Linked DNA regions of Mytilus edulis. The protein of the gene in region 1 interacts with the protein of each later gene in a pairwise test. Links are inferred from orthologs where the notes say so. Each region holds a gene or a part of one and is shown in the gene's direction. Other genes may lie near its edges. The genes, in order: protein phosphatase 3 catalytic subunit alpha-like and calcipressin-2-like.

Region 1 (12,021 bases):
ACATTGTTCCTTATGGGTCAATGTAGAAAATATGTAGATATCATAGCTGTTTTGTTGACTTGTTCCGTTCAGATGATTCGTTTGCAGAGTTATGGTAATTGGACCTAGGAATACACGTATGTGCTTGATCATTTTGTTCCAGAACAACGAAATTTTAACCGCGGTAGGGGACGGTGAATTGCCATGCAATATTATCACATCAAGGTATATAGGGATGATTCTCATAAACAAGTATCTATTAGTATATGTTTGTCTTTTTTACGTAGCTTTAATACTTACCAGGGTATCTCTCGATCCTTACTAGTATAGGCAAATAATGCGTCCATCTCACGTTGTTTGGTGGGGTTCGTTTTGATAAATCTTTTGCTGTTGACAATTTGGTGTATTTTCTTCTACATTCTTTAACAGTGTATGTTTTACCTAGTTTTAATTTTGTCTTTTTTAGTTGATTTATTTGTGAATTAGACTATTTATTTATTTTGAGATATATATTATTTCAAATATATAGACTTCGAAGATACAAAAAAGTACAGATTTTAACTGAAGAAATTGTGTATAGAAATGGGGAATATGGCAAAGAGAACGCAACCCAACCAAAGAGCAGAAAACAGCCGAAGGCCACCAATTGATCTTCTACACAGCGAGAAGATCTCGCACCCGGAGCCGTGCTTCAGCTGGCCCCTAAACAAAAATGTGTACTAGTTCAGTGATAATGGACATCATACTAAACTCCGAAATATATAAATGACCTAAAGTTGAAAATCATACAAGACTTACAATGGCCAGTTATTGTTTGTTTTTATTATTACAGTGATTGGTCTTTTATCTAAACTGAAACCATTTTAATGTTACATGCATGAGGTATTCAGTAAAACATGTTGACATCGTTTAAAGAACAATTGCGTCTTGGTAAACCGATTTGAAGAGTAAAAGCAAATGCATACATGAATAATCATTTTACTAAAACTTCATCAAATATTAAAGATTATATTTTGCTAGCAGTAATGAAATTTCATTTGTTATCCTTGATGAAAAATCGATCAAATGTTACATTAACGGTAACTTCGTAAAAGGTTATCATTGATAAATTCATATAGCGTTTATAGAAACATAACATAAAATATCAAATGACATGGGGTTTAAGTATGTACAAGCTTTAAAGTTCTCATATATCGCTCTTTATTACAACACCTGCGAATTCAGAATGAATAGAAATATATACATGCGACACCATCTATTACTACACAAGAACAATAATGTATATCAACAAAAACTTGAACTTGCAGCCGCGATCTTCTATCTTCCGCAAATAGAGGGTATTGATATTAACACAAAAATTAAGATGAAAAAAATCGTCTATTACAGCAGAATGACCTGAGTGTGTAGGAACAGGTAATATCGTTGGTTTGTTTGCTTGCTAGCTGAACCTTGAATTCTTTATTAGGTTAGGTATACTACCCTCCCTTAAACGAAGACTATTCCAACAGATAACCAATATATTTGTCTGTAACACTAGACTCATACGAAAGGTGGGTAGTATACCTAACCTAATAATAATGTCACGGTTCAGCTAGCCAGCAAGCTAGTCAAAGATATGACCTTTACATACACGCTCAAGTCAGTTTGATGTAAATCTTTCCAGGACTGCATGCACTGCACGTGTATACGTATCATAACAGAAGTACTATATTGGATAAACAAATCCATCAGTTTTGAATTTTATCTTTGTGATACATGCATATGGACTTACACGTCATAATTATTAAATGCTACTAGATATAAACAAAATATGATTTTTGTATGTTCAATTATAAATAAAACAAAAACAAAGAGTGGCCATGGCCGTGTACTTGAACATCCCAACAACAAAAAGACACTATGAACAGATCTGAGAGTAGTCGAATTTAATAACAGCTAGTTCAAAGCCATACAATGGGCGATGGTTTCGGGCTACCGATCCATTTCGGCATGCATATTTTTTATATACAATCATGCATTAAAATTCAAAAATAGTGTATATATACTATACGGCAACCTCTAAATGAAATGTAATGTGAAGTTAACATCCATTTAATCGCTTATGAATTTTTACAAGGCTTTTTAAATTAGTTTAAAGAGAGAAAAAAATACAGACTATTTAAACTTTTTAGCTGCATTTTTGCGTAGTTCGGTGGATTAATTTAATGAAGTGGGCAAACAAAATGACACGTTGTAGACATGTCGTAGACCGGTAAAAATATAAATAAAAAGGTATCAGTCATAAATATTTTTTTTCAATCGAGTGTTTAATGTCAGGCATGTTTGCACATTTTTCCAATTCCAGGCGAAATATGTTTCTGATATATTCTGAATTTTCAATATCATAAATAATCTATAATAGATGTCTATGTACTATAGTATATTGCTGGATAATTTATTTAGCCAGGTTTCTCTATATCTTTGTAATTTATATCTATCAAATTGCATCATTATGTATATTAAGACTGTCTTCAAATAGTTGAAAAGAAGAATAAAAATAGTATGATATAAGGTTAGGTCCCACCTCTTCCATAAAAACAGACAATTCCATGAAGTGAAAGAACGACGAAAGGACCAACGATGATAACAAAACATAGCATTGACATTACATATATCAAACAATTGTAATTTAAGGCATTATTTTATAATAAATGAATTGAAAATTTGATAATAGCTAGGATCATAAAATTGAGAATGGAAATGGGGAATGTATGGCAATACATTAAAAAAAAAAGCACAGTGTCTTGCCATAAAAATTGAGAACTATTTATTACAAATTAAACAACCACAAAATACTGTGTTGAAAATAAGAAAGGTGTACAGTGATGTTCAAGGACAATGGACAACCTCCGCATACTGTAGAGACACAAGAATCGGTCACGTGGGTATAAAATTGTGTACACTTGGACATCCATAGTCTCAAAATAATACACAGATAAAGGAGGTGACTGTTTTGCAGTTTTTTACATAGTCATGTCTGATCGGATTGCGATCATTTCTTTGAATCCATTATCCAGTTTTCAGACAATGAACAACAACTTTCTTTCTTTTTTCAGTTGTCCTTTTCGACCTACTGTGTCCATATATAGAACCTACCAAGCAGTTTAACATGTTATCTATGATTCTTCCTAAATTTGGGTTGAATATTGTACACTGGACGTATAAAAGTAACTCCTTATTACGTTCTAGCAGTATAAATGGAGTTGGAAAATTTATTCAGTAGTCATTACATCTTTCGAATTAGCAATACTTTGATTAGACGGAGCAAGAGAGACTAAGAGAGAACGAAGTTATTTCGCAGTCTCTGCAAACAGTTTCATTATGGAAGTATTTTATAGGGAGGAAGATAAAGCCTTAATCATTTTCTAGGTATTCCAAGACTCATACTTCTTGTAATCAGAAAGGGTACAAACAAAATTATGTGTTCCGAAACTGTCAAATTCGTCATATTTTATTAGTGTTTATGGCATCTGTACACTACATCTAATTTCTTAAAGCTTTTAGAGTAAAACTTTGGTTGGCTTGCTTACTTTGTTTGCATAAACGTTGGCCTGCGCTTTATACTTAAGATTGACATCTTCAAACAATTAGATAGTATAGTTAAATTTAATTGGACGTTACATTACTATTGTACAATATTCAAACAAGGCAAGAAAGCTAACCAAAGTCTTGCTCTACATGCAATGTGAAATTAGCTATAAATCCATTGGAAGTTGGGTGTGTAATGATTGATAACTTAGTTTTAGATGCAGGACTATTTTTCCTATTTGTTATTGGCTTAATTTTAACTGCGAGAACTTTTAAATCTGAACTAATTGTCTTTTTGTTGTTAGCATGTATGAGAACCAGTCTACGTCCACTCTGTGTTTTTTAATTGATGTATTTCTATTTGTAGATAAATATAAAAAGATGTGGTATCAGTTCCTATGAGACAACTCTCCATCCAAGTCACAATTTGTAAAAGAAAAACCATTAAAGGTCAAAGCAAGGTCTTCAACACGAAGCCTTGGCTCACACCGAATAGTAATTAAGCTATTATGAAGGGCCCCCGAAAAAGACTAGTGCATTTGATGAGTTTAGCCCTTTTCTACTGATGCCTTCAAACTAGTTTAACTCCGAAACGTTTTGTTTATATGTGCATGTCCCGAGTCAGAGGCTTGCAATTCAGTGGTTGTCGTTTGTTGCTGTGATACATTTTTTTCATTCATTATTTTGTACATGAATTACTAGCCGTTAGTTTTCTCGTTTGAATTGGTTTACATTTGTCATTTCGAAGTCTTGTATAGCTGACTATGCGGTACGGGCTTTGTTCATTGTTGAAGGCTGTACGGTATTTTTTTCAGGTAAAGGCAATATGTACAAATACAAATCAGTTTTGGAAACTTAGCTATAAATACTGACACCTTAGAAAAAAGTAAAATAACAATAATACTGAACTCCAAGGAAAAATCAAAACGGAAAGTCCCCGATCCAATGGCAAAATCAAATGATAACACACATCAAACGAAAATATAGCAATGGTTGTGATTATAAGTACCTCTAATGCCTTAACCAAGGTTAGGATGACCCATGAAAGCAAACAAGCTTATTTCCAATTGGGTCCTTATAGTCTTGACAATAAAATAAATAGTTTATCATTCAATTTTACAGCAATAAATAGTATTTATGAATTCGCATCTTAAAACATTTATATAACAAGAATGTGTCCAAAGTACACGGATGTCCCATCCGCACTATCATTTTCTAAGTTCAATGGACCGTGAAAATGTTGCAAAATCTCTAATTTGGCATTAAAATTAGAAAGATCATATCATAGGGAACATGTGTACTAAATTTCAAGTAGATTGGACTACAACTTCATCAAAAACTACCTCGACCAAAAACTTTAACCTGAAGCAGGACAGACGGACGGAATAACGAACAGACGAGCGGACAAACGAACGGACGCACAGACCATAAAACATAATGCCCATAAATGGGGCATAAAAAGAGATCTAATAAAATATCTAAAATGCATCTGACATTGATCTGAGTTTACTCATTAGGTGTTTTTTTAACTTCAAACTTGTTAACATGAATACCTTTTACGTCGTCTGTCTGAAATCATTCCACCTTTTTATACCATCAGCATAAAAAGAAGAATTAAGATTCTACACCTTTGACATTTGGAACATAACTTGAAATTGTAATCAGTTGTTTAATATTCCTATTTGAGTAAGTTCTTGAAAGTCAATTTTTACAGTATTCAGAACATTTGTAGTGAAAAAAAACCCATTCAAATGATATACACTAAAGAAATACTTTTCGTTAAGCACCACACATAATCCATGGGGCGGGAGTGTCTCTTCCTCTTTGGCTCGGAAGGCTCGTTTCCTTAAACCGCGTGCCGCTTTATATAATCGGTGTCTCTTTTTTGAGACTGCTATTGTGTGATAGTAGTCTCAGCTCTTTTTGATAAGTCAATTTAATATGTCAATGGGTTGCCGTGAATTTCACCAAAGTAAAACTATGATAGATCCAGTCAGTAATTTTCATCTCAGTTTTAAAGATGTATTTTTTTTAATCAAATCAAGGATTTGTATAGTGAGACACTATACAAATCCTTGATCAAATTAAGATGTCAAAGTAAGTATAGCTAGTACTGAGGGCTAGTATCGCATACTTAGTTTAGTTTAAATAGCATTTATCAATGAAAAATTACAAGAATAAAGTATTATTTAATATACAATCATGTTACATGAAATTCAACTTGGTCAACTATGGGATTCGGAAACAAGGTTGGAAAAGTTTATATAAATCCGTCTCTAGCATCGCATACTTATTCAGTGTCTGTCGTTTAAATACACATTTTATTAATATGAATCGGTTAAAAACATATTCTATCTAAATAAATAGATTTGTTAATCCAGCTCGCCATACTTTTGCAACATTGACACCGGGCGTTGGCAAGGTTGCGCAAATAAATGCGCAGCATAGTATTTTGTATGCAAATAAGATGTCGTTAACGCCATCTTGATAAGAATTGTTTACTATTATTGAATCGGGGCATATCGACAAAAATAAGTGCCATCTAAGGCACATTTTAAAGTTATCACCTCTATAAAGCCCCAGGATGGCTTCCACAGATCCTAAGTTGTCTACAAAGGAAAGAATAGTAAAGGGTAAGTCAATGGCTATCTCCGTTCAATACACAACAATATTTATGTCCGCCATATTGCCTGTCGGCCATGACTGCAAGTGATACTTTTCCGTTTATTGATGGTATTTTTGGCAGTCCTGACTCTTTAACAATTCATTATACTAAATTTTCTATGTGCTTACATATTTTGGTTATCAAGCGTTTCTGCATATACACTGCACGTCAATGTATCTGAATACTGACGTCTGCAGAGATTCTGCTACCGTTGCTGCATAAATTTAAAGGGAGACATTTTCATAATACCCTTCCTTTCTGGTCATATTTGAGCGACTTACGTTAAGGACTTTACTAAAGTTTTCTTTACTATACATTTGAAGTTCAGATATTTTTCTAAACAGTATATAAGGTCATTCATTGTTGCTATTTATAGTATTTCATTTTTGGTCAGCTGAGGATTGTTTACACTACATGAAAAAGTCCTCCTTATTGTTCTCCTTGCATTCCTACATGTACACACACACACATATTGTAGATGACAAGTAGCAACTGTAGTTATTGTGTTGTATGTTGTATATATACAGTATTTTTTATGAATAAGGGGATGTGCAGTTATGATTGTCAAATGCACCTTTATAGCTATTCACCTTATCGCTTATCCCAGGCTGACCCAGCCGCTTGAACTTTTGACGCATCCAACAATTACTTTTCCATTGTGGCGTCAGATATTTTGTTTTATGACATCAAAATTTTACGGAACCTGTGTGATATCCCGTAATGGCAGACAAATCGGATAAGGTGTGTTAGGAAATAAACCTTATCGGTAATCCCGGCTGACCCAGCCACTTGAACTTTTGACGCATACAACAATCACATTTCCATTGTGATGTCAGATATTTTGTTTTATGACGTCAAAATTTTACGGGAACTTGTGTGATATCCAGTAATGGCGGACAAATAGCGTTAAGATGTATCTGTCCCTGTTGACAAGATAAAATGTCCCCCTTGAACTATTGACATCATACATGTACATCACAGTGCATTGTGTCAACATGTATTATATAAATATCACATAGCTGAGAGGGTGATAGAGCAGATTGGTTTGACAATGTTTTATCGGGGTACCAATCTGCTCTATCACCCTCTCAGCTATTTATTATTTAATTTTATTATACTGAATGCCTATCATTTTAGTCTTTTTAATCGATTAATTTTATTATAACCCTTTCAACGCTATACACAGCATATGCAGCGATGACATACCCCCTCCGCCACTGCTATTCGATGACAATGGATTTTTCATCAGGACTTAAACCATTCGGTTTTCATTCGGGTCCTCTCAGATTTTTCCTTGTATGAATCAAGGATATACAAGGTCTCATTTGCGCTTGAAATCCCGGCAATTTTTATAGTAAAATCATGCAGTTGAAGGAAAATAAAAACAAATATTTTGACAAATGCAAATGGCGGAAATCAGAAACGAAGCTGTAAATATGGAAACATTTAAGCATTTCTATGGCGTAACTGACAACATGGATTAGTTAAAAGGTTTCTTGTTATCTCAATCTTTATTACATTTAATTCTTGTGGGAAATATGATTTGATCGATAATTACGAGACGTAGAAAAAGGGGGGAAAACAGAGGTTGACTGAAAATTTTGAGGAAGGAGCCATGATTACGTAATATGTTGTGTATGGTGCAATACGCTACGGAATCGAGTAATTGGTGTCTTCTTTATTATATGGCAGATAAAACAACAAAATAGATGAAGACTAAAAGTAGTTTTTATTCAAAATTCTTAAATTACACCTTTTACCTGTTATTTACCTGAAAATGCAGGTAATCTGATAAAAATTTTACTCAAATAACTGCCTAACATTACAGTTCATACTCTCCTGAGCATTTTTCATGCAATAACTTTCTCTGTATCTCTTATAATAAAAAAATACAGCAGTCTGAAAAGAAATATATTGTTCTTATGAATGAACACAAAAAAAATGCAGCAGCAGCAGGTCAAATAATAAAATCTGAGCCAAAACCTAGAACTTAAGCATTGTATTTAATTATTTGATGTACATTCAATCCATTGTCCTTTAAACTATCTATTTTGATTGGTCTAGACGAGGGGGTTACATTAAAAAAAATGGTCACCCTCTCAGCTATGTGATAGAGTAAATTAACACCCTTGTATCAGCCAATCAAAATATGGCATTTTTACGTGAAGTATAATAATTTGTATTGATACGTCAAATTTTTAAGGGAACTTTTGTGATGCCCAGTAATACACCTTATCGTATTAAACACAAGTTTGATTGGTTTAAGTTTTTGTTACAACTGTCATCTAGCCAATCAGAACTCGTGTAACATAATATGTATCATCTGGGTCCCTGTTTAAACAGAAGAAACAGAAGTCAAGGATAACAGTATATATTTTGCGGGGGAAATGTTTTTGCTACTATCTTTTTTGATGGCTTGATTCAAAGTTGCCACAGAAGGACTACTTGCACAAAGGGAGAGTTCTATTGAACCTGGTCTCGCTAAATACGACTCTAACTCGCATTTGGTGAGTCGGTGAGCAGAGGTTTTACACACTGAGTCATCCCAAATGTAATGAAACTTATACACAATGCTTAATATCACAAAACATGGATCAAATTTGAAATTTGGTCGCGTCACTTTTAATGTTATAGAGTAATGCTCCTTTACAATACATCTTATCCCTATATGTCTGCCATTTATACTTGACTTTAAAAAATTATGCCACAAATTAAACCAAATGTTACTTTGTTGGCAAAGCCTGTGATCCTAGTTCATTATTTGAGTGCCAGTGCAAACTTGGAAATGTTTTGTCTGATACATGAAACCTGAAGTTATATTTGTCTCAGATGTCTCCCTAATAATCTCTCAAAAATCATGGTGATAAAGAATTCTACCCTTAGGTATAACCTGTGGGAAACACCATTTTAGGAGGGACTAGCCAGAGTTTCTTTTACCTTACACAACATCAATAAGAGTGAAACAGCATGTTTATTTATCACCTGATAGAACCAATGAATACTGACTGGTATAATTTATAAGGGAAGGGATAAGTCCTCAACTATTTTTGCTTTCATTCCTCATATATATGATAGAAAGTTGTGTACATGTTCTATACATTGTCAACTTGGATTTGATTTATTTTGATATTATGATTTTTAGGTGTTCCCTTTCCACCAAGTCACAGATTGTCAGATAGTGAAGTGTTCGACAGTAAAGATAAACCAAGACCAGATGTTCTCAAACAGCATTTTATTTTGGAAGGAAGATTACAGGAAGAGGTTGCACTTAAATTAATCAACAGGGGAGCTTCCTTGTTGAGGCAGGAAAAAACAATGATAGACATAGAAGCACCAGTCACAGGTAACTACAATATTTATGTTTATTAATAGTTAAGATGCTTGTTGTATCCGTGCATGGTTTAAAAAAAATAAATCCCTAGCAGCAATCTATTATTGACAACACCATTGGCACAAAAGGAGTAGGTCCAGTAAGACCCCTTTTCGGCCCCAAAATATAGCACAAAATTGTTAAAATATAAACTTTTGGTAGTTTATTGGACCGTAGAATGCTTCTGCTACATAAATATGGGCTCTTTTTGACAAGACAAAGCACATATATCGGGTACTAGCACCATTAAGTCATGCTAAATTACTGAAGTCTTCACAATTCTAGCATTTTAGTTAAATTTTAGACAGTTTTCGTGTAAAACGAAAGTGGCCGCATTCGTGTTCATCCTTACAGCTTTTACATTAATGCTAGCAAGACAAATCTTTGTTCGGCTTGCTTGCTTTGTTTGTATCAATGTTTGCTCAAGCATGGTAATTAAGATAGGCGGGGCTTCAGCTTGTATACATCATTCTTAAATTTTATTGGACGTTATGTTGGAGGTTAAGGACACTAAATTTTAAAACATCACATGACACGTATTCTCTCATGTTTCCTTATTTGTAAATATACAATACAGACAGGATTCTACTTCGTCGAAATTATTTTCCTATTTCGCCAGTTCATTTTCACAATCGTAGAAACGGAAGACAATTTTTTTTTCAGAGATCCAAGACTGTCGTCAAGCACTTTTAGTCAAATAGCTATTCGAACACACCTACTCTGAATTTGTGATCCAATTAGATAGATATTTCACTTGACCCCTATATTTCATCTTTTAGTACTGTGATTTTTTTTATGTTATAAAGTCAACCTGTAGCTTTGCTATATAAAATGATAGAGTCTGAAGCGAGATGATGTAACAAATACTCTTGTTTTGTACATTTTCAAGACAAAATATTTTTCTCAAACACACCCTAACATAAAAAAAGGTGCACTCGATTTTCTCTTCGATACAATTGTTTCCCATTTTTTGGAATATTTTCTCGAGTAGCATAATCGAAGGACAGACATGGAAATAACTGACTGAACTAATAGATTGATATGTTATAAAAACAATATTAGGTCATTTAATGTTGAAGGCCAGTTTCTCAGCCTCATACAAGTAAAAAGTTTATATTTTTCTTTCATTGACAAATTATTGTATTTTTACAGGTGAGAATATTTGTCATGTGATGTTTTAAAATTAAGTGTCCTTAACCTCAGACATAACGTCCAATGATTTAAAGTATGATGTATACAAGCTGAAGCCCCGCCTATCTTAATTACCATGCTTGAGCAAACACTGATACAAACAAAGCAAGCAAGCCAAACAAAGATTTGTCTTGCTAGCATTAATGTAAAAGCTGTAATATTGAAATGTAAGTTGTATTTTATGATAATACATAACATATATAAAGGTTGAGGATGAACACGGATGCGGCCACTTTCATTTTTGACAAAAAACATCTGAAAAGTGACATTTTTTTGCATATTTGGTAGATTTTTCATATTTGAGCTTGAATCGGATCGTTTTTACTGGCTAAATCAGTTGAAATCTTTCACATAAACTAATTGATTCAAAAGAAATAGACACTTAAGTATTTAAAAAGTGGTCAAAATCTTTCGTCAGTTGAACCTGAAATTTGAGGCCAAAATCGGTCCTTAAATGGACCTACTCCTTTATTGAAATCCCCCATTCTTATTTTCTAAAAGGGTTGAAACAACGCCACAGACTATTAGTTGGCACATACTTGATTTTTCTTGTTGTCCGGTCTTAACCCTTTCAACGCTATACACGGCATATGCCGCGATGACATACACCGTCCACCACTGCTATTCGCGGCATATGCCGCGATGACAACGGATTTTTCCTAAGGACTCTTAACACTTTCACTACTGAATTTATTTTTTTCGCGGGATTCCCTGGCCGAAATTTATTTGCACGAGCCGTTTACCTGACCGGGATTAATTTCACATGTGCTTCAGCAAAAACGACCTCGTAGTTTTGGTCATTGAAAACTCGGGAACCGTAGCGAGTTGTGCGGTCAAATTTTGATAAAATGTAGATAAATATCATAGGTTGAGCGTCCGTAACCTTTTCATAGAGTGAGAAGCAGTTTACCTTAAAAACGCGTGTCGAAAGCGTAAATTGATTGAGTCGGAAGATAATTTTTGGATTTGCCTACCGTATATCACTTTCACTTCCATTCGGCAACATTTCTAAAGCACACGTGTGTTTCAAAATTCTATTTCTATAAGCTACTGAATTATTTTCTTTCAAAACCCGTTTCCGTTTCCTTGGCAATAATACTTGTAAATCGAGACTGTCGTTCACGTAGATTTTGGCCGCCATTTGTTTACGGTTTCGAAAGAAGAAAGATAACTCGGGCTCGATAACGGACAATAACTCTTCGAGACGAGTTATATAATACCCCCAGCGTTGATGTGCGATTACTGAACT
Region 2 (12,192 bases), on another chromosome or scaffold:
GCTAACGGGGAATTTTTTTATTTTTACTTGTAGCAAGAAAACAAGATCGGTGACACCATGTTTTCTTTATATTTTCTTAAAACATATTATGAAACCTTTCTTCTCACAATTTATTTCAAAATTCTATCTCATAGAATATTTTTTATGCACACTAATGTGTCTTTTCATGATCAAAGTAACCAAACTTAGACAATTTTCAACGACTCATAGCTTGAAATATAGCACATAGACCCATACTTTTTATTAAATTTTTGAAAAGGGCATAGTAAAATCTTCATTTTAGCATTTTGTGGTTATCACTGAATGGTAAACATGGTAAAGAGTGTTATAATTTATCAGTTGGTAGTAAAAGTGAATATACATTGTATATTGTATAAAACAATGATTTAAGTTGATTCAACTACTATTCTGGACAAAGAAAGATAACTCCAATTGAAAATTTCTTGCTATTGAACAATACTGTGCAATTGAAGATTTCTTGCTACTGCTGAATACTGTGCAATTGAAAATTTCTTGCTATTGCACAATACTTAATATAATAGTTTTGGATCCTGATTTGAACCAACTTAATCAAAATCTAAGTACATGTTTAGTTTCAGCATATCAAAAAAGCCCAAAATTCAATTTTTGTTAAAATCAAACTTAGTTTAATTTTGGACCCTTTGGACTTTAATGTAGACCAATTTGAAAGCAGGACCAAAAATTAAGAATCTACATCCACAGTTAGATTTGGCATATCAAAGAACCCCAATTGTTCAATTTTTGATGAAATCAAACAAAGTTCAATTTTGGACCCTTTGGGCCCCTTATTCCTAAACTGTTCGGACCAAACCTCCCAAAATCAAACCCAAGCTTTCTTTTATGGTCATGAATATTGTGTTCAAATTTCATAGATTTCTATTTACTTTTACTAAAGTTATGGTGTGAAAACCAAGAATAATGCTTATTTGGGCCCTTTTTTGGCCCCCAACTCCTAAACTGTTGGAACCAAAACTCCCAAAATCAATCCCAACCTTCATTTTGTGTTCATAAACCTTGTGTTTAAATTTCATTGATTTCTATTTACTGATACTAGAGTTAGAGTGCGAAAACTAAAAGTATTCGGACGACGACGACGCCAATGTGATAGCAATATACGACGAAAAATTATAAATTTTTGCGGTCGTATAAAAATGGATTTAATATAATTGTACATGTACATATAAATAGCTGGTCTATTTATTATTCAGGCTAGCTTTCATTTGCTAACCTGTTTCTTTGAGGTAAACGGATTAAAGTTACATGCCTTCCCCATTCCCCTCCCATTTTGTAAAGTATCCTGTTTGCAAAGATTTTCCAGCATTCAGAGAGAATATTTGTAAATTCTGTATATTTGTTAGGCTAAGAATTGTAAGAAGCTAGAATAATTACTGTTTAACTACTCTCAATCTCAGTGATTGAAGTTTGTCTTCCTGTGCTTACTCCAGGAGGCTGAAGTCTATTAGATAATATAACAAGGTACTGTTATTTTTAAAGTATAATTTATTAGAAGATGGCATAGATATAATATACATGTATGTTAATGTTATAGCATATTGAATAGTTGGTTGAACACTGTAGCAAATAATTTAGATAAAAACTGTGTAATATTGTTTACTGAACAATTCGTGAATTAACTGATAAAACATCTTTATGCTCACAATTATCTTACTTTTCCTTGCTGATAACACATAATACACCATACAGTCGGAAACCAGGTTGAAATAGAACAAAAGAATCGAAGCTCTTTGTTAGAGAAGGCGATAAATGTTTACTGTATTGTTTACTATAGTGACAACATTTTACAAAGTTAATAGAAACAAACAAGGTTGCAATTTTCTTCTCAATTACGAGGTGTTTTATTTTAAAAACACCATTTGCATAAGTTTTCAATTTATCTAGTACATAGTTAAGCAGAACAATTAGATATCAAGTCGACGACATGGGTATCTTTCAAGTTGGATGAAGAAAATTCATAACCTCCGATTTTTATGAAAAAATTAGGCCAAAAAAAAAAAAGGTGTGTTTCCGGTCACCCGACCGACCCTAATTTTTTGGCGCCGACCCTAACTTTTTTTCCACGGAAAAAAAAAAATAAAAAATCCGGATTTTTTTCGTTTTTTCCGGAAACGGTTTTTGTTTAGTATAGCCTTTGAATGGCATCTTTTAAACGTTTGATTTCAAATAAAATTTTAATACAGTAAGCATTTGTGTGATACAGATTGAAGTCAAACAACGGCATGGCTTCTGCTATGGCCATCAGTCAAAGTGTGTTATCAATAACAATCGATGAGTGTCCACACAGGAACGAGAAAAAAAGTATAATAGCCCCATTTTCTAATTCTACCACCTTTATTGATATATTCAATCAGTATCATGACTTTGGATTAAAGAACAATGAATTTACATAGCCCCAAAACTCAATTTGTAATTGATTTTCTTTTAAACAGCTAGTATATAATCAAAATTTCAAAGATTTTCACCCATCCCTCTATCATGTTATTAATAATTTGGTATTTGTAGAAAAGCTGGCATCAGTTCTGTGAACTAAATTGTCTGAAAGAAACTGATTATAAAACAGGTCTTTGCTGAGACAGACTTTGATGGGCTTTCTGTGTAAGACTATAGCCTGACCCGTACAGATGGCATATCAGTTCTGAAAAGTTTGAAAATTTTATAAGCTGGAAGTCCTGGCCAAGTCTTCTGCAACTTTTGAACATGGACTATTCATATCTTGTATACTTTATACAATGAACTGATGAAAATAACCTGAAAGAATAACAAACTGATTTATATAAAAATACACAAAAAACAACCGAAGCAGGCCAGTAAAAAAAAAAAAAAAAAAAAGTACCTACCTACCGACCCTAATTTTTTGGGGCATGCAACAGGAAACACACCTATTTTTTTTTTTGGCCTTACCACGGACGGAAAACATATCAATCTATTAGTTCAGTAATTTTCGTGTCTGCCCTTCCATTAAGTGACTGAAGAAAAAATTTCAAAAAATGGGTAACAATTGTATCGAAAAGAGAAAATCGAGTGCACCTTTTTATGTTAGGGCGTGTTTGAGTTGAGTATTTTGTCTTGATATCGTACAAAATAAGAATATTTCATACATCGTCTTGCTTCAGATTCTATCATTTTTATATATTAAAGCTACAGGTTGACTTTATAACACAAAAAAATTACAGTACTAAAAGATGAAATATATGGGTCAAGTGAAATACCTATCTAATGAGTGACAAAAACAGAGAAGGTGTGTTCGAATAGCTATTTTTTTACTGAAAGTACTTGACGACAGTCTTTCAAGTTGGATGATGAAAATGCATATCTTCGAAAAATTCTAATTTTTTGTGTGTGATTACTAGGGTTTATAGTCTTCATACACTAAAAAAATATAGTCTGCCCTTCCACAAAATATTTAATTAGAATTTTTTTAAATGTTTATGAATTTTCGAAAATTCCACCTGACAACCGATCAGACAATAGTTTTAAGTTGAATCAATGCAGACAAGATTATTAACTGATGCTCATTAGCTAGTTGATACATTTGTCTTTTAAAATACAACTGACATATAAGGATCGTAATGGTGCAATGTTGATAAATTTATCGGTTTCCAAGAGCAATATTGGTAGCGTGTCATCCCTACAATGGCTTCCATTTCTACTATTGTGAAAATGAACTGGCGTAATGGGGAGATAATTTTGACAAAGTAGACTCCTGACTGCATAGTTGTCCAACTGGTCTCTGATTGTTGTCATTACACTGTCTCGTGAGAGAATAGATCTTCTTGTTAGACAGAGACAAGAGACTATTCGATTGTCAGATAGATAATATTCATTTGTGGAATAGTCTGATGGTACTGCCCTGGAAGTTTCCACTTCTTGAGTGTTAGTTTATATGCGATTCCAGGTTATAGAGGTGCAGCCTCTATTTGACAGTGTAATGCTGTTCTATAAACTACACGATAGAAAGTGCGTTTAGATACACTGACTATTACGTATTTGAATATTCTTTACCCATATTGTTCTCGCAATTTGAGTTTCTTGTTAAATATAAAGTGAAGTTAATGTGTCAGAAGTATTTTAACCCTATTGGCCTGGTAATATTAAGAACACCAGTGTTTAAACCATTCTCTGTTTTAGACTAGCTTATTCTAGTCTATTGAGGTTCCCTGTGTACCTGTAAACACAGGTGGTGGCAGCAAAGTAAAAGACACCTGTTTGGCCAGTTATTACAATAATGCTAGAGATTATAGCCAATATAACTAGAAAATGCCATTCTGCCCTAATTTGCTTTAAATACAGTGCAAACAAAAATACCCCTCTATAGAGGAAGAATTTTATCCCTCTAAAGAAGGATTATCCCTCTATACAGGTATAATCACCATACAGGGGGTTTGTTCCCAACCTGTCCAATTCAAGATGTCATAATTATTTGGACTAGCAAACTTCCTTCTAGTATTGGACTGTCGATTGTTAATGTCCAGTGGATTCCTATAGTAATGACTTCTGGTAAAAAATAAACATGCACATGTTTTTTTAATCTATCTGGCAAAAATGTCTGGATGGGATCACTTTTGGGGAAATCGTGTATAATATTAACCCTTTCAACGCTATACACGGCATATGCCGCGATGACGTACGCCGTTCGCCACTGCTATTCGCGGCGATGAAAAAGGATTTTTCATTAGGACTCTTAAACCATTCGGTTTTCATTCGGGTTCTCTCTAATTTTTCCTCGTTTGAATCTAGGATATGCAAGGTCTCTTTTGCGCTTGAAATCCCGACAATTTTTATAGTAAAATCATGCAGTAGAAGGAAAATAGAAGGAAAATAAAAACAAATATTTTGACAAATGCAAATGGCGGAAATCGGAAACGAAGCTGTAAATATGGAAAAATTTCAGCATTTCCTTGGCGAAACTAACAACGAGGATTAGTTAAAAGGTTTCTTGTTATCTCAATGTGTTTATTACATTAAATTCGTGTGGGAAATATGATTTGATCGATCATTACGAGACGTAGAAAAAGGGGGGAAAACGGAGGTTGACTGAAATTTTTTAGGACGGAGCTATTTATTTGTGCCACGATTACATAAAACGTTATGTATGGTACAAAACGCTACGGAATCGGGCAACTGGTGTCTTCTTTACAATATGGCAGATAAAACAACAAAATAAATGAAGACTAAAAGTAGTTTTTATTCAAAATTCAACACAAATGTAATAAATTACACCTTTTACCTGTTAATTACCTGAAAACGCAGGTAATCTGACAAAAATTTCAGTAAAATAATTGCCTAACATTACAGTTCATGCTCTCCTGATCATTTTTCATGCAATAACTTTCTCTGTATCTCATATAATAAAAAAGATACAGCAGTCTGAAAAGGAAAATACTGTTCTAATGAATGAACTAAAAAAAAATGCAGCAGCAGCAGCCATTTTTCATTTTTTTTGTGTAGCGTTGAAAGGGTTAATAAATTATGTTTACTGATTTTATAACTTTATAATTAAATTGATTAACACAACTATTTTACTCTTTTTTATTTTTTGTAATAACCACGTGTATTTATAATACATACATGTAATTGTTATCTTTATAACCCGATGGAAAAAGTTAAAAGTGGCATTCAAATAGAAAGAAAAGGGAAACAAAGCACTGTGATATGTGCAAGGTAACAAAGTCAAACCATGAAACACGTTTTCACTGATGGACAGTCAGTTGTGTCTGATTTATCTAGTATTTCTACAAACCTGTGTGACACTGAATCACATCTAATTGTCTATCCATGGCGGCCGGGATTTGATCCATCACTGCTCAACCGAAGCTTGTTTATTTTCCGGATAAGAAAAATTCGTCAACCAAAACCATGTGCACTGTTTGCCGGAAATGGGCGCGAAATTTGAATCACTTTTTTATTATAAGTTATTTAAAATAAAAATAAAAAAGTTACCATTTTAAAGAGACAGTCAGAAATATTTTTTGATTACTTAGTGTTTTTAAAACCCCAAAAGGTAATGTTATTATAAGTTACGACATCAACTGTTTTGGTACGTTGTATTGTATTTGGTTTCAAATTGACATTTGGTAACGTGCTAGACCTAAAAGTCTGAGTCATAACGATGCTTCAAATTTGACCTAAAATTCATGTTTTTATAAACGACAAAAAGGTAAAGATCTCGTATTTTTAATGAATCTAGTTTGACAGATTGACGTCATGTACTTTTTTCGTATTTTGATTCTTCAGTCGTGTTGACCCACATAGTGCATTATTTTAGCATGCCAAAAGCATTGAAAGAGTCAATTGAACCAGAGCGACTTGACAATCGATGGGATATAATGGAAATAGAAGATAATATCAGTCATGCCGAGGATGTTGGCACCGGCGCCAGCATGGAAAGGGAGTTTATGGAAGACAATACATTTACAGACTTGCCAAATGCATTAATTGTCACTAACGTTGCTGAATGTGTATTTGATGATGAAGATGCAAAGGTGAGATACTCAATTTTTGCTGGAAGCTGTTAGTTTTAATTATAGTCATAGTTATACATATAAAGTTTGGCATCAGATCCATTCATGCATTACCTGTGAATAGGGACGAAGTCTGTATGAATTATTTTTTTTGTAACTTGAATATTTGTTAAAAAAAGAAACGGAAATACCGTAACGTTTCCAATTTTGGTTCTGTTGTTAGGGATTTAAGTTGTGACGTTATTTAAGTTATGACGTCATATGCAATGTAAACAAAGAAACGCTATCATCAGGTAACATTTTTATATATCAAGGAATTATTAAAAATGAAATTGGTATTGCGTTGACCTTCCTTTGTTATACTACTAAGACTGATAAATATATATTTTACTAAAAGTTTCATACAAACGAGACCGGAAAGAGGAAGTACATCGTAGATTTCTGCCCAGATGCCCAGGAATTCAAAACATGACATCAAAAAAATTGAGTTCATTAGTACAATGAAAATTTCTGGGAAAATTTTCCCGATTTTTTTTTTTTTTATTGAATTTTCTACTGCTACAGTATTATAAAAAACTCGGGTTTGAGTGAACGTCGATGCATTTCCGTCAAAAACTCTGGTTTTAGTGAACATCATTTGTGCGTTTAGGGGCGTCGTCACTTCCATTCCAATGGTGAGCTATATTGTACGAATTATTCGGCAAATTGAATCCTCAAAATTGACAATCAGCATTGCTGTCACTAGCTATATATAGGGAATTGTCATTAGCAAATGATTAGTCTGCGTCGTCGTCGTCGTCCGAATAGTTTTAGTTTTCGCACTCTAACTTTAGTAAAAGTGAGTAGAAATCTATTAAATTTTAACACAAGGTTTATGACCACAAAAGGAAGGTTGGGATTGATTTTGGGAGTTTTGGTCCCAACATTTTCGGAATTAGGGGCCAAAAAGGGCCCAAATAAGCATTTTCTTGGTTTTCGCTCTATAACTTAAGTTTAAGTAAATAGAAATCTATGAAATTTTGACACAAGGTTTATGAGCACAAAAGGAAGGTTGGGATTGATTTTGGGAGATTTCGTTCCAACAATTTAGGAATTAGGAGGCCAAAAAAGGGCACAAATAAGCATTATTCTTTGTTTTCACACAATAACTTTAGTATAAGTAAATAGAAATCAATGAAAGGAGTAGGTTCAGTAAGACCCCTTTTTGGCCCCAAAATATAGCAGTTTTACAAAATTGTTAAAATGTAAACCTTTAGTTATTTATTGGACAGTAGAATGCTTCTGCTACATAAATATGGGCTGTTTTTGACAATTCAATGCACATATATCCGGTACTAGCACCATTAAGTCATGCTAAATTACTAAAATCCTCATAATTCTAGCATTTTAGTTAAATTTTAGACGGTTTTCGTGTAAAACGAAAGTGGCCGCATTTGTGTTCATCCTTAATATTGAAATGTAAGTTGTATTTTATGATAATACATAACACATATAAAGGTTGAGGATGAACACGGATGCGGCCACTTTCATTTTTACCAAAAACCATCTGAAAAGTGACATTTTTTGGCATATTAGGTAGATTTTTCATATTTGAGCTTGAATCGGATCGTTTTTAATGACTATATCTGTTAAAATCTTTCACATAAACTAATTAATTCAAATAAAATAGACACTTAAGTGTTTAAAAAGGGGTCAAAATCTTTCGTCAGATGAACCTGAAATTTGAGGCCAAAATCGGTCCTTACCGGACCTACTCCTTTAAACACAAGGTTTATGACCACAAAAGGAAGGTTGGGATTGTTTTGTTAGTTTTGGTCCCAACAGTTAAGGGGCCAAAAAGGGGCCCAGCTACATGTAAGCATTATTCTTGGTTTTCGCACCATAACTTTAGTATACTGTAAGTAAATAGAAATCTATGAAATTTAAACACAAGGTTTATGACCATATAAGGAAGGTTGGGTTTGATTTTGGGAGTTTTAGTCCCAACAGTTTAGGAATAAGGGGCCCAAAGGGTCCAAAATTGAACTTTGTCTGATTTCATCAAAAATTGAACAATTGGGGTTCTTTGATATGCCAAATCTAACTGTGTATGTAGATTCTTAATTTTTGGTCCTGTTTTCAAATTGTTCTACATTAAAGTCCAAAGGGTCCAAAATTAAACTAAGTTTGATTTTAACAGAATTTGAATTTTGGGCTTTTTTGATATGCTGAAACTAAACATGTACTTAGATTTTTGATTAAGTTGGTTCAAATCAGGATCCAAAATTATTATATTAAGTATTGTGCAATAGCAAGAAATTTTCAATTGCACAGTATTCAGCAGTAGCAAGAAATTTTCAATTGCACAGTATTGTTCAATAGCAAGAAATTTTCAATTGCACAGTATTGCACAATAGCAAGAAATCTTCAATTGCACAGTATTGTGCAATAGCAAATATTTTCAATTGCACAGTATTGCACAATAGCAAGAAGTATCTAATTGCACAGTATTGCACAATAGCAAGAAGTATCTAATTGCACAATATTGTGCAATAGCAAGAAATTTTCAATTGGAGTTATCTTTCTTTGTCTAGAATAGTAGTTGAATCAACTTAAATCATTGTTTTATACAATATACAATGTATATTCACTTTTACTACCAACTGATAAATTATAACACTCTTTACCATGTTTACCATTCAGTGATAACAAGCACTTTATTTTACATTTTAATATTTTATGATGTATTTAAATGAGTTGTAATTATTGTTGCAAACTCCATTAGAAATTTGAATTGAGATCAGTTTTGAAAAAAGGGAATGGGGGATGTGAAAAAAAAGGAGGGGGAGGGGGGGGGGGGTAAATTTTTCTCATTTCAGATTTTATAAATAAAAAGAAAATTTCTTCAAACATTTTTTTGAGAGGATTAATATTCAACAGCATAGTGAATTGCTCAAAGGCAAAAAAAATATTTTAAGTTCATTAGACCACATTCATTCTGTGTCAGAAACCTATGCTGTGTCAACTATTTAATCACAATCCAAATTTAGAGCTGAATCCAGCTTGAATGTTGTGTCCATACTTGCCCCAACTGTTCAGGGTTCAACCTCTGCGGTCGTATAAAGCTGCGTCCTGCAGAGCATCTGGTTGTATTTCGTTGTAAAAATATGTTAATTTACTTCAATTAAAGCAGGTTGAATGATTAAAATAATTTAAAAAATTAGATTAAATATAAATGTTTTGAGGGGAGACAACACTGTAAACAGTCTGTTTTTTTGGCAGTGAAAATTGAAAACTTAGCAGCCTCTGTAGCTCTTTTTTGAGCAGGTGAACATATCCTGAAACACAAATTTTTTGAAAGACCAGGTAAAAATCTATGAAATTCATTCAATTTTGATTATGAAAAATGTGCAGGTATCATGTCTTCAGGGGTGTGCACATAACCTGATTTCAGGTTTTTTCAAGCTTAAATTAGGCAATGTTTTTCCCAGTTTCTCTGGATAAAACTTTTTTATACTATTAAAAGTACACTTTTTTTTATTCCTTTATAAACTAGAGAACATTCTGATTCCAGTGATATCTAGTTTTATACAAGTATCCTTATTAATCAGTCCACCACTAAGGGTCACTTATACATGTTCCCTCAAATATGACGTCATAGGAAAAACTGTTGAATGTACCCTAAATGAGTCATAAAGGCGTGTATAATTGACAAGTTTTTTTCCGGTGACGGATAAACTCGAAAGTGATCTATTGAATTATTTTGTTGACAAATATCAATAAAGATAAATACATTTATTGTTTTCCAGTATTATATATACTACATGTACATTGTATATACATGCAAATTAAATCAAAGAGAAGATAATTATAGCGAACCCTATGATAGTTTTCCATAGATTCACCTGCAAGTTACCTGTCGATTTAAACTTTTGGCAGTTCTATCACTGGCAGACCTATTTGGAAAATCACCGTGATTTTTGTAAAAAAATCGGTGTTTTTTGGACAATCTGCGCGGAACGGATAATTAATAGAGGTTCATCGTAAATTTTCCGTTTTACAGAATATTTTGCGGTTCTCCGGAGATTTTCCGTGTCTCAGGGAATTATCCGTTTGTCCGATAAAACGGGTGTGTATTGAGTCATTGATAGAACCAGTGATGCGTGAGCGACGGTTATTAAAAGGTCGGTTGTATAATCCGTTATGCGTGAGCGACGTTCAATCATTAATTGATCGTTGTATAATCCGTGAAGTGTGAGGGACGGTTGTATTGAGGTACAGATTGTGATATATGTAGAAGTTTACAGAACTACTAGTATCATTAATCGATTGAGATATAAGGAATTTTCAAAAATTTATCACATAATGTTTCTGTAAATTTAGAGAGAAACAGATTATATATTTCTCGGGGTTAAAGGTTTACTTTTATGATGGAAAAATACATGTGTATTTCTGAGGACGCAGATCATTTAAACTTCATTGGCAAATAGGAATTTTTAAAACGATCTTGATCACCTGCTGATCCATTAATCTTTCAGAATGAAATGCACATTTATACCTCTTGGGGTTGAAGGCATATATTAGCAAAATTAACAATATGCTACGATGAGATAATAACAAGTTGCGAATTTTAGTCCGAATGTGTATATATATATGAGCATATGGACATACATTCATCTTTATAATTAATCAGTTCATCTGTCATTTGTTTTATTAAATTACTTTTCAATTGTGGTATAAATACAATTTTATCATTGTGTAAGACGATTTGAGAATAATGCTTTCATCGTAAATACTTCAGAAATTATAATTGATTCAAGAACCGTTTTATTGGAACAAAAATAAAATGAACGGCCTGGAGGAAGTTCTAACCTTAGTTGATATTAGGGGTCAATTGGTATAGCAGTATGTTACGTAATACAACGATCGTCGATGCATAATATGCATATGTATGTATATAGTATGCATGCAACTGGATTTCGACAACTCGTGGGTTGTCTTTTAGACAAAGAAGTTCCATTTTAAAGATATGAAAGTACGTCAATGCACGTCTTGTAAACTAATCTGTTACTTTTTGATATATAAATAAGTTATATTTAAAAGATTGGATGGTTATTTCACACGTATCAAAGTTCTTCTGTCATCATTACTGTTTTTCAATTATCTTTTGAGAGTTCGATCTTAAAACTAAGTTCGTCCTGACATTTATGGAATATTTGCCACTGGAAGTTAAACAACCAACAATCAATCATCTTATTACAAAATTTAAAATATGTCTGAGCGATAATATTCTTTTAAATTTTAATGTGAAAGACAGTTTCTCCATTTATAAGAAGGCACTTCCAGGTCTAATGTTAAGTGTATCTACATCCCGGGATTGAGATTTATTTACTATACTAGCAAAAAAAAAAAAAAAAAAAAGAAATGATGATACGTTTTTTTTTAATAATTAAATAATTAACGTTAAAAATATATGTAATTAACTTGATCTAAAACTTGACCTCGCTCATAATAGAGAATGTTAAAAATCAATTGTGTCGACTGCACGGGATTGTCCAACGGCGGGAAATACCCTGTAACTATAAACACAGGTGATGTTACTGACCGATTGTGGAATGTCAACTCAGGGTTAAAGTGATGTGTAATGATTGTGCGCTTGAAAGTTGAGGCTCTAGTAGGTTCATTTCAATTGATAATCGAAAATCTAAAATCA

What was found.
Region 2: the proteins of protein phosphatase 3 catalytic subunit alpha-like (region 1) and calcipressin-2-like interact in binary tests that used the Caenorhabditis elegans proteins (3 or more experiments, as listed by UniProt). The link is inferred for Mytilus edulis from reciprocal best matches to the Caenorhabditis elegans genes tax-6 and rcan-1.

The regions. Positions count from the first base shown.
Region 1 is NC_092352.1:34,310,239-34,322,259, reverse strand, and holds the start of protein phosphatase 3 catalytic subunit alpha-like, read left to right. Parts: upstream 1-5,983; 5' UTR 5,984-6,130; coding exon 6,131-6,179; intron 6,180-9,353; coding exon 9,354-9,554; intron 9,555-12,021. UniProt on the Caenorhabditis elegans protein: Calcium-dependent, calmodulin-stimulated protein phosphatase. Dephosphorylates arrd-17. Dephosphorylates daf-16 at 'Ser-319' which regulates daf-16 nuclear translocation. Dephosphorylates calcium permeable cation channel pkd-2 at 'Ser-534'.
Region 2 is NC_092353.1:62,867,105-62,879,296, reverse strand, and holds the start of calcipressin-2-like, read left to right. Parts: upstream 1-6,139; 5' UTR 6,140-6,305; coding exon 6,306-6,521; intron 6,522-12,192. Other genes in the region: methylosome protein WDR77-like, read right to left, coding at 5,780-5,837. UniProt on the Caenorhabditis elegans protein: Inhibits tax-6/calcineurin A phosphatase activity and thereby negatively regulates calcineurin-mediated functions.